Cricetulus griseus: one gene and its partner. The protein of the gene in region 2 interacts with the protein of the main gene of each other region in a pairwise test. Links are inferred from orthologs where the notes say so. Each region holds a gene or a part of one and is shown on either strand. Other genes may lie near its edges. The genes, in order: Pdlim7 and Phf1.

The links.
Region 1: the proteins of Phf1 (region 2) and Pdlim7 interact in binary tests that used the Homo sapiens proteins (3 or more experiments, as listed by UniProt). The two-hybrid records come from large-scale screens. The link is inferred for Cricetulus griseus from reciprocal best matches to the Homo sapiens genes PHF1 and PDLIM7.

The regions. Positions count from the first base shown.
Region 1 is NC_048596.1:274,498,460-274,502,360, forward strand, and holds the start of Pdlim7 (PDZ and LIM domain protein 7), read right to left. Parts: upstream 2,306-3,901; 5' UTR 2,182-2,305; intron 1,238-2,181; 5' UTR 1,227-1,237; coding exon 1,131-1,226; intron 1-1,130. UniProt on the Homo sapiens protein: May function as a scaffold on which the coordinated assembly of proteins can occur. May play a role as an adapter that, via its PDZ domain, localizes LIM-binding proteins to actin filaments of both skeletal muscle and nonmuscle tissues.
Region 2 is NW_023276806.1:232,131,210-232,135,110, reverse strand, and holds the start of Phf1 (PHD finger protein 1), read right to left. Parts: upstream 2,906-3,901; 5' UTR 2,747-2,905; intron 2,119-2,746; 5' UTR 2,103-2,118; coding exon 1,944-2,102; intron 1,860-1,943; coding exon 1,778-1,859; intron 1,695-1,777; coding exon 1,599-1,694; intron 964-1,598; coding exon 863-963; intron 774-862; coding exon 625-773; intron 477-624; coding exon 381-476; intron 247-380; coding exon 178-246; intron 53-177; coding exon 1-52. UniProt on the Homo sapiens protein: Polycomb group (PcG) that specifically binds histone H3 trimethylated at 'Lys-36' (H3K36me3) and recruits the PRC2 complex. Involved in DNA damage response and is recruited at double-strand breaks (DSBs).

The DNA of each region.
Region 1 (3,901 bases), on a different chromosome or scaffold from region 2:
TCCGATATCTGATGTCCAGCTCCCACTGAGAGATGCAGCCTTGACACCCCTCTCAGGCTGAGCAGTGTCGGGAAGTTCTCAGGCCCCTTCGGGCTGGGCTTGCCTTGGGCTTCCTGCCAACAGCTGCATGCCTACTCTGTGGCTGGGTGGGCCTCTCTAGGCAGGAGGCTATCAGGGCAGGAAGTCCCTGCCCCTTTTTTGACCCCCTAGGCCAGTCAGAGCTACCAAGCTGGCGCCCTGGCCTCACCCACTCTGGCACAAAGTTTGCTTTGAGTCCCACTGACACAAAATGACTGATGATCAGGTGAAGGGCCCACCAATGGCGCTAAGGGGCCTAGACCTAGGCCAACCCTTTTGGGTTCTGTTGACTGGCCACTGTTGGCCATCCCAGCTGGGGCTACATTCTTGGGCTTATAAGGCAATCCCCCTGCCACAGGGAGGAGTCAGCTCCCAGCCCCACCCCCCATCAGGGCAGACTGAAGAATGGGAACAAGAATCCTGGAGGCTAGCCTCACTACACCTCTGCTTAGGGTCAAAGGTCACTACAGCCTGACCAGAACCAGCAGGCTGAGGACCTGAGTCTCAGCCTGCTCAGTCCTCACTCAGCTGGGAAGAGACCCCTTAAACTTACAGGAAGGACAAGCCATTTTGTGCCTCAGTTCATATTCTTGCTCTGCCAGGGACTTGCTGGTTGAGCTCCTCCATCCCTCCAAGTCCTGTCACTTGGCAAAGCAGGATGACAACTGCTATGCCTTGGATAGCAGTGACATTAAAGTTAGGTCCTGCCTGGCACCTGGTGCCACACACTGTTCTTCATGCTAAAGCACTTCTTGGAGACATCAACCTCCCATATTGTAAAATAGGCTTCTCCTTGGCACTCACAGATGGCCAAGGGGGCTTGGAATAGCATCAAGTACCATGTCAAAGCAGGGCAGCTGGGGGGGGGGGGCTCCCCATTCCACTATCCACCTAGCCAGGAGTCCTTGAAGTAAGGGCCCATTTGGACCTGGATGCTGGTGTCCTGTTGGCCCCTGAGCAGCTTGCTCGCTCTTGCTGTTTCTTCCCACCATTTGCTGGAAACATGGGCACCCAAGAACCCTTGGGGAGTGCATTCCCCAGTCTAGGCTTACCCGAGAGATGGAGAGGGGCACATTGAAGTCCTTGCCCCCTTGCAGCCGGAAGCCCCAAGGTGCTGGCCCCTCCAGCACTACCTTGAAGGAATCCATGGTGCCTGCTCCTGTGAGGACAGAAGAGAAAGTGAGTGGCCGCACCCAGCACTGCAGATGGCCCAGCAGGTCCAGATCTGGTCACTAGCGTTAGCCAGGTACCAGAAGGCACAGAGAGACGCTCAGCACACACAGGCACTGGGAGGCAGGTATCTTGTTGGGTTTGGCGGGGCTCCCGGCTGGCAGACCTCACAGGCAACAGACAAGTCAGTTCCCCACCCTGGCCCCTGCCACTGGGAGGGTGAGCAAAGTTCTCATCAAGTCTAACTTCTTTTCTCTCCCGGGGGTGGGCTGTGGGGCTAATTGGCACTGCTTCGCCCAAGCTAACCTGGAATCTCAGGAGGGCGGCAGGGTGAGTCAGGGGCCAGCTCCCCCTCCTTCCCCGGGTCCCAGCAGGCCGCTGGAGCCTGCTCGGACTATATAAGGCGTGTAAGCTGACACTGTGGAGAGCCCGTGGAGGGAGCACTTTAGGGGCTCGGGACGTGAGGGGGAGGGGCGAGGAAGGAGGCCGCTGCAGCGGGTCCTAGCCATTTTGGGACAGGTCGAGGCTGCTGGAAGCCAGGGTGGGACCCCGGGCACTGCAAGGGGGGTAAGAAACGGGGCGCTGTCCCCATGGAGAGTGGCGGGGGTCATGTCCCTAACGCGCGGCCAGGGAGGGGACTCTTTCTGGAAGCCAGTAAAAGTGGTGGCACACACGCACGAAGCTCCCTTCCCAACGTGACTCTGTTTCCCCTCGTCTCCAGCCCCAGCCCCGCGCTTGGTCGCGTCCCCACCGCACACGGTGGCGCAGGCGCCAATCAGCCGCACCGCCGCAGGAAGGCGGGGGCGGAGGCTGCGGCCGAAGCCAACCGAGGGGATCCGGCGCAGGCCACGGCCGCCACGCCCCCCGCAGCACCTCAGCGGGCCACGGGACCCCACGGGGTGCAGCCCAGGAACCCCCCGCGGCCGCCAGTACCTGGGTGCCCGGCTGGGCCGCGGCTCGGCGGCCTCCGGGAGCCTTGCTGGGATCCGCGCTGCGCTCTGACCCCGCCTCCGCGGACGCCGCGCCTTTTGAGCCCGCGGAAGGGGGCGGAGCCCTAGGCCACGCCCTCCCCAGGCCACGCGAGTGGACATCCCGGGGTCGGTGCGAGGCCCCACCCCGTCCCCAAGCCCTGAGTCTCCAGGACAGGGACGGAGGGTCGCGCATTTACCCGGGCAATGACCCTCCCGAGCCTGGTCGCCGCCAGCCTGCGCCCCGCTCCGGGCTCTCACCCAAGCCCCTTGCGCCTCCCACTGGCGAGGGGGAAGAGAAAGCAGCCTTTTAAAACACCCCGGCTGTAGAGGTCTTCTCTCACCTCATTCTCCCCTTGTAGGGGAGAATAGCCTCATAATACCCTTCTGTCAGGGATACGGTACAGGTCAAAGCGGCCGTGGTCCGCGCCACCGGAGATTTCAGAATTTCTGAATTCCAGGGAATGGAGAAGCAGCGAGACAGGGTAGTTGCAAGTTAGCTTTCCCGGGGCTGGGGATGTAGCTCAGTGGTAGAGACCCCTGGTTCAATCCCCCAAACCAAAGCCAACCAACCAACCAAAGCTAGGCTTGCAGGATAATCTGGAAACCAATACATAAGGAAATAAATAATAGATAAACAAATAAATAGTAAGAGCCAACGGAGTTGGAGGAGGCCCTTAGCCCCACATGGGGCCTGACAGTAAGAGTCCATCCAGACAGAGCCAGCAGTCCACAGCTCTGCGACATCCACCAAGCACCACTATTGGGACGGACTGTATCCCCTGAACACCCCTCCCGAGCACACAGTCCGTCCTGTGGGGGTGGGGTGGAAGGAGCTGTCACGGCAGAGGGAAGGAAAGCCGATTCTCCTGAGTGTTAGAGTGAATGGTGGGGGGCACGACCCCCCCCCACGCCCTCCTACCATCCTTACATACATCCCCCTTCCCCAACATTGTCCCGACGGCTCAAACTCCTGCAGGAGATGTCATCTTTGAAGAAATGCTCCTTGGTACTCTGCTGTTCTGTCTGCGTTGCTTTTTCCTCTTGCTGTCCCTTGTCTCTATGGTACTCGAGGTCTCCACGACCTCCATCAAGTCAGCTGCAGCCTTCAGGTCTCATCCCGTCCTGCTGAGGCATGCTGGTCAAGGCCAGGCCGACCACTCCCTTTCTCCATTGCTTTCTTTTCTTTTAAGATTCAATGCCCTCTTCTGGCCTCTTCAGGCACGAGGCACACATGTAGTGCACATATTAACATGCCGGCAAAACACTCATACACATGAAATAAAAGTAAAAAGAAATAAGGGTCCCCGTGTAAAACACCCATACACATGAAATAAAAGTAAAAAGAAATAAGGGTCCCCGTGTAAAACACCCATACACATGAAATAAAAGTAAAAAGAAATAAAGCTCGCAGTGTAAAACACCCATACACATGAAATAAAAGTAAAAAGAAATAAGGCCTCCCCGTGTGGACGGGCTGGCCCTTTGGCCCTTGAGTGTGCATGGATTCCAGATCGTCTAGCCTCTACTTCCTGAGAGCTGAGACCACACCACCAAGCCCAGCAGCTTCCTTGTCTAAATCACCTTTCCCCAGGCTTCTCAGGCTTTCCTCCCTCAATATCAGGCTGGTCTCGAACTCACAGAGATCCACCTGCCTCTGCCTCCTGAGTGCTGGGATTAAAGGC
Region 2 (3,901 bases):
TTTCTTGCAGCAGACACTGAGGTGGTAGAGGACCAGGTGGGCCACATCCACCCTGGAGAGGCAGGAAGGCAGCAGCGCATATGAGAGTCAAACAGCGGGGAACAGGAAGGAAGGAAGGAAGGAAGGAAGGAAGGAAGGAAGGAAGGAAGGAAGGAAGGAAGGCACAATCCATCTCACCAGCGAAGCTGTAACCTCCGGACCTTCTCAGGGCCACCCCGGCACACACAGCATTCAAATTCATAGAATCTGGACATGAGGACAGAGAACGCACCTCGTTCAACTCTACAAGTGGTAGACAGCGAACGCTGGGAGGCCTGGGCGTGGGTGGAGCACAGCAGGCGGGCGCCCTGGGCTTCCTGGACAGCCTCCTTTGGGCTCACCTGTCTCCGTAGAGGAGGGGCTTGCTCAGACACTGGGTGCAGGCCTCGTGGAACCACTGGAGACAGCTCCGACACTGCAGCATTTTCAGGTTCCACCTCAGGGGAAGACAGCCTGCCTGAGACCACCCTGAACCCTCACCCACCTCCCATCACCTCGGGGCTCCCCTCAGCCTGCCCCTTCCCCTTTATTCCAGGCTCTACCACCACAGCGTCCACCCCAGAACTCAGCACCCCCACCACTCACTCCCCGGGGCCTCCACAGTAACAGTAGCTCTGCTGTCGGTTGCTCAAGTGCCCGGCGTCCCAGTCCAGCCCCTTTAGTCCATACGGCAGACAGAGCTTCATGCCCAGCATGGCCCGGGCATAGGGGCCCTTCTTCAGGGCGCCCCCCCTCTGCAGAGGAACAGGTGGAAACCTCAGAGAGGCAGGAGAGAAGGGGCCATGGGAGGCTCCCATAGGAAGTGGCAGAGAGGTGCCTTTACCTTGGTGGCAATCGCAAAGACACACTGGCGGCAGACCCAGGATGTGCCCTCTCCTTCTCCAGGGGCTGGGGCCCTGGGAACGTGACAGTCCTGGTGATAAGCTGAATAAGGACAATGTTGAGAGTCAAACACTGTGTGCGCACCTGCATTGGCTTGGTGCTCGTACACGGCAGCCTTCCCTTGTGCGTTTATATCCTGACCATGGTCCTACTGTGTGTGTGTGTGTGTGTGTGTGTGTGTGTGTGTGTGTGTGTGTGGTGTGTGTTTGGTGGGGGGGCTGGAGAGATGGCTCAGAGGTTAAGAGCACTGGCTGCTCTTCCAGAGGTCCTAAGTTCAATTCCCAGCAACCACATGGTGGCTCACAACCATCTGTAGTGACATCTGGTACCCTTTTCTGGCCTGAAGTTGTACATGCAGGCAGAACACTGTATAATAAATAAACAAATCTTTAAAAGACAGAGAGAGAGAGAGAGAGAGAGAGAGAGAGAGAGAGAGAGTGAGAGGTATGTAGCTACCCTCAACCTTAGAGAGAGAGAGAGATGTATGTAGCTACCCTCAACCTTGCATGGCTTATGTCATCTTCATCCTATGGCTCCCTCTCCCTGTACTGAGATGAGGTGACAGGGTGAAGACTGGCCAAGATAGGAGACACAAGACCCATGCTAGGAAGACAACTGGCAATCCAGAAGACCCAGGGCAAACTGTACCATTCAAGTATCCTGCCCTCTCCTCTCACCATGACGACACTTCTCACAGCTGACCAGCCGGTTCCCAGGGACCACCGTCTCAGAGCGACAGACACAGCAGAGGAGCTCCTCCCCAGGGAGGGCAGCTGTGAGGGACAAGGTGTCAGGTGGCTTACTTCAGCCAGTGTCCCCCACACCCTCCAGCTTCTGCAGTTATGAAGGGTCTCACCCGGGCTGATGTCCTTCCATAGAACCAGAAACTGGGAATCATCCTCAAACTGGACCAGACACACCTCCCGAGCACTGTCCACCTGGAGTGGGTGAGCAAAGATTATAAAGTGGGAGCAGGAATCAGAGGGAGAGGATCCATGGTGGGGCCCAGAGTTGGCTCTTACCTTTTTGATGGTGCCTAAATACAGCAGCCCATCGGTCCACCTAGCCAGCACGTCTTGACCCTCCCAAAGTCGAGGTCTAGGGCCTGAGGTGGGAGCAGGGGAAGCTGGATCCCAAAGAGAGGGTGCACCCAAGCGGCTCAGCCGGGGGAGCTGCGCCATTGCATCCTGGGAGGGGCTAATCAGATACGATGGAAGAGTTTATGAATGTTAAGAAGGCTTGGCTGCTCTGTCTGCTTTTACTGTCAAGGATAAGGGACCAAGCACCTCCAAGCTCAGTCACTGAATCCTTTAGACACCTAAGGAGGTGGGTCACCCTGGTCCCCAGCCTGGTTCTCTAGCATCCCAGCTCCCTGGGGCCTTAGGGGAAAAGATGCTTTCAGAGCCAAGGTTACCATTCATTCAGTTTCGCCTTTCCCAGCTGTTTAGAGGTATCCTAACTGGGACGCTCGGTTGCCCAGAGATATTTTGGGAGCTTTTCTGGAGATGTTTCCCTGAGTAGAGACATCCGCCTCCCCAGGCCTGTGTGTCTCATTTAGAACCGCTGTCCTGGTGCCAGGTTATGTTAGGTCACCCTCAAATTTGAGGCTGCTTGCCCTGGGATTAGATAACTTCCCCGAGTGCCCCAGGAGGGGGGCGTGTCCCTGTCCAGGTCTCCGCTACCCTACACCGCCGGTCTGAGGAGGGACTCGAGTCCCCCCAGCCCGGATCCTAAGCCGGTGCCAAGAGGCTCTCCTGCCCCCTGCTGAGCATCGACCCCCGGCCCCCTCCCTGCCCCCGCTCAGGGCCTCCCGCCTCCTTCTTACCGGTGACAGCTGGGTCAGCAGGGAGCCAGCTAGGGGCAGACCCCAGAGCCCTAGGGGCGCGAGCCCCGGCGCGGGCGGAGTGCGTGCGGACGCCGAGGGCGTGCAGGAGGAGGCCGGGGGTCCCGGGGCCCAGCCCCTCCGTCCTAGCGGCTCTGGGGCGTATGACGCAGCAGCCAAAGCAGCGGCGGCGGCGGCGGGAGGAGTCGGCCGCGGGAGGGCGGGAGGGAGGAGTAGTGGGTGGGGAGCACCAGAGGGAGGAGAAGCCGGAGGGGCGGACAGGCAGCACCTCCCTCACCCCCGGCAGGCCCCGAGGGCACCGCACGGCTGGGGGCGCGGCCGGCCGGGCAGGACGAGGGGACCCCTGCAGCCCCCTTTCCGGACGGGAGGCTCGCCCCGGGAGCGGCAGGAAATAACCCTGCTGGCAGCCAGCCTGCAGGTCAGGGCCCAGCCCCGCCCCATGCCACATCCGTTAGCTGCCCCGCCCCCGTGGCCACTCCAAGCCCCGCCTCCGCACGCGGCCCCGCCCTCCCCATTCACACTTCCTGTCGCCCCGCCCTTCTGCGCACGCGCGGCCCCGCCTGGGCGCTGCACCTGGGCAGACAGCCACACCTCCTGCCGCGGGAGCCCGGTGCGGCTGCGCTCCTCCCTCCCGGGCGGGCAGGCGAGCGAGCGGGCCAGGGCCGGCGAGCGGGCGAGCCAGGGCGGCAGGGCCAGCACCCAGCCGGTGACGTGCCCACAGCCAGCCAATGGGCAGCGGGCGGCAGGGAACCGTAGTTCCAAGCGGTGGGCAGGCAGAGGGAGGGGATGCGGATCGAGCGCGCTGGGACTCACACCAGGCCCGGTGTGGCAGCTATGGGTGCAACACCCGCGCTGAAGGACAGCCAAGTGAGAGCCCAACAGAGAAAAGCCCATAGCCTCACTGTGCAAAGCACACGTCAGAAGCCACACTTCTGCAAGCTTACGGTATTTGTTTACAACCTACCAGGACTAACAAGACCTTTATTTAAGAGCCGTAACAAGGGCTGCAGAGATGGCTCGTCGTTAAGAGCACTGACTGCTTTTGCAGAGAACCCACAGTCGCTCACAGCCATCCATCAGACCAGGTCCAGAGGACCTGAAGCCAGCCCTCTTCTGAACTCAAGAAGCACCAGGCAT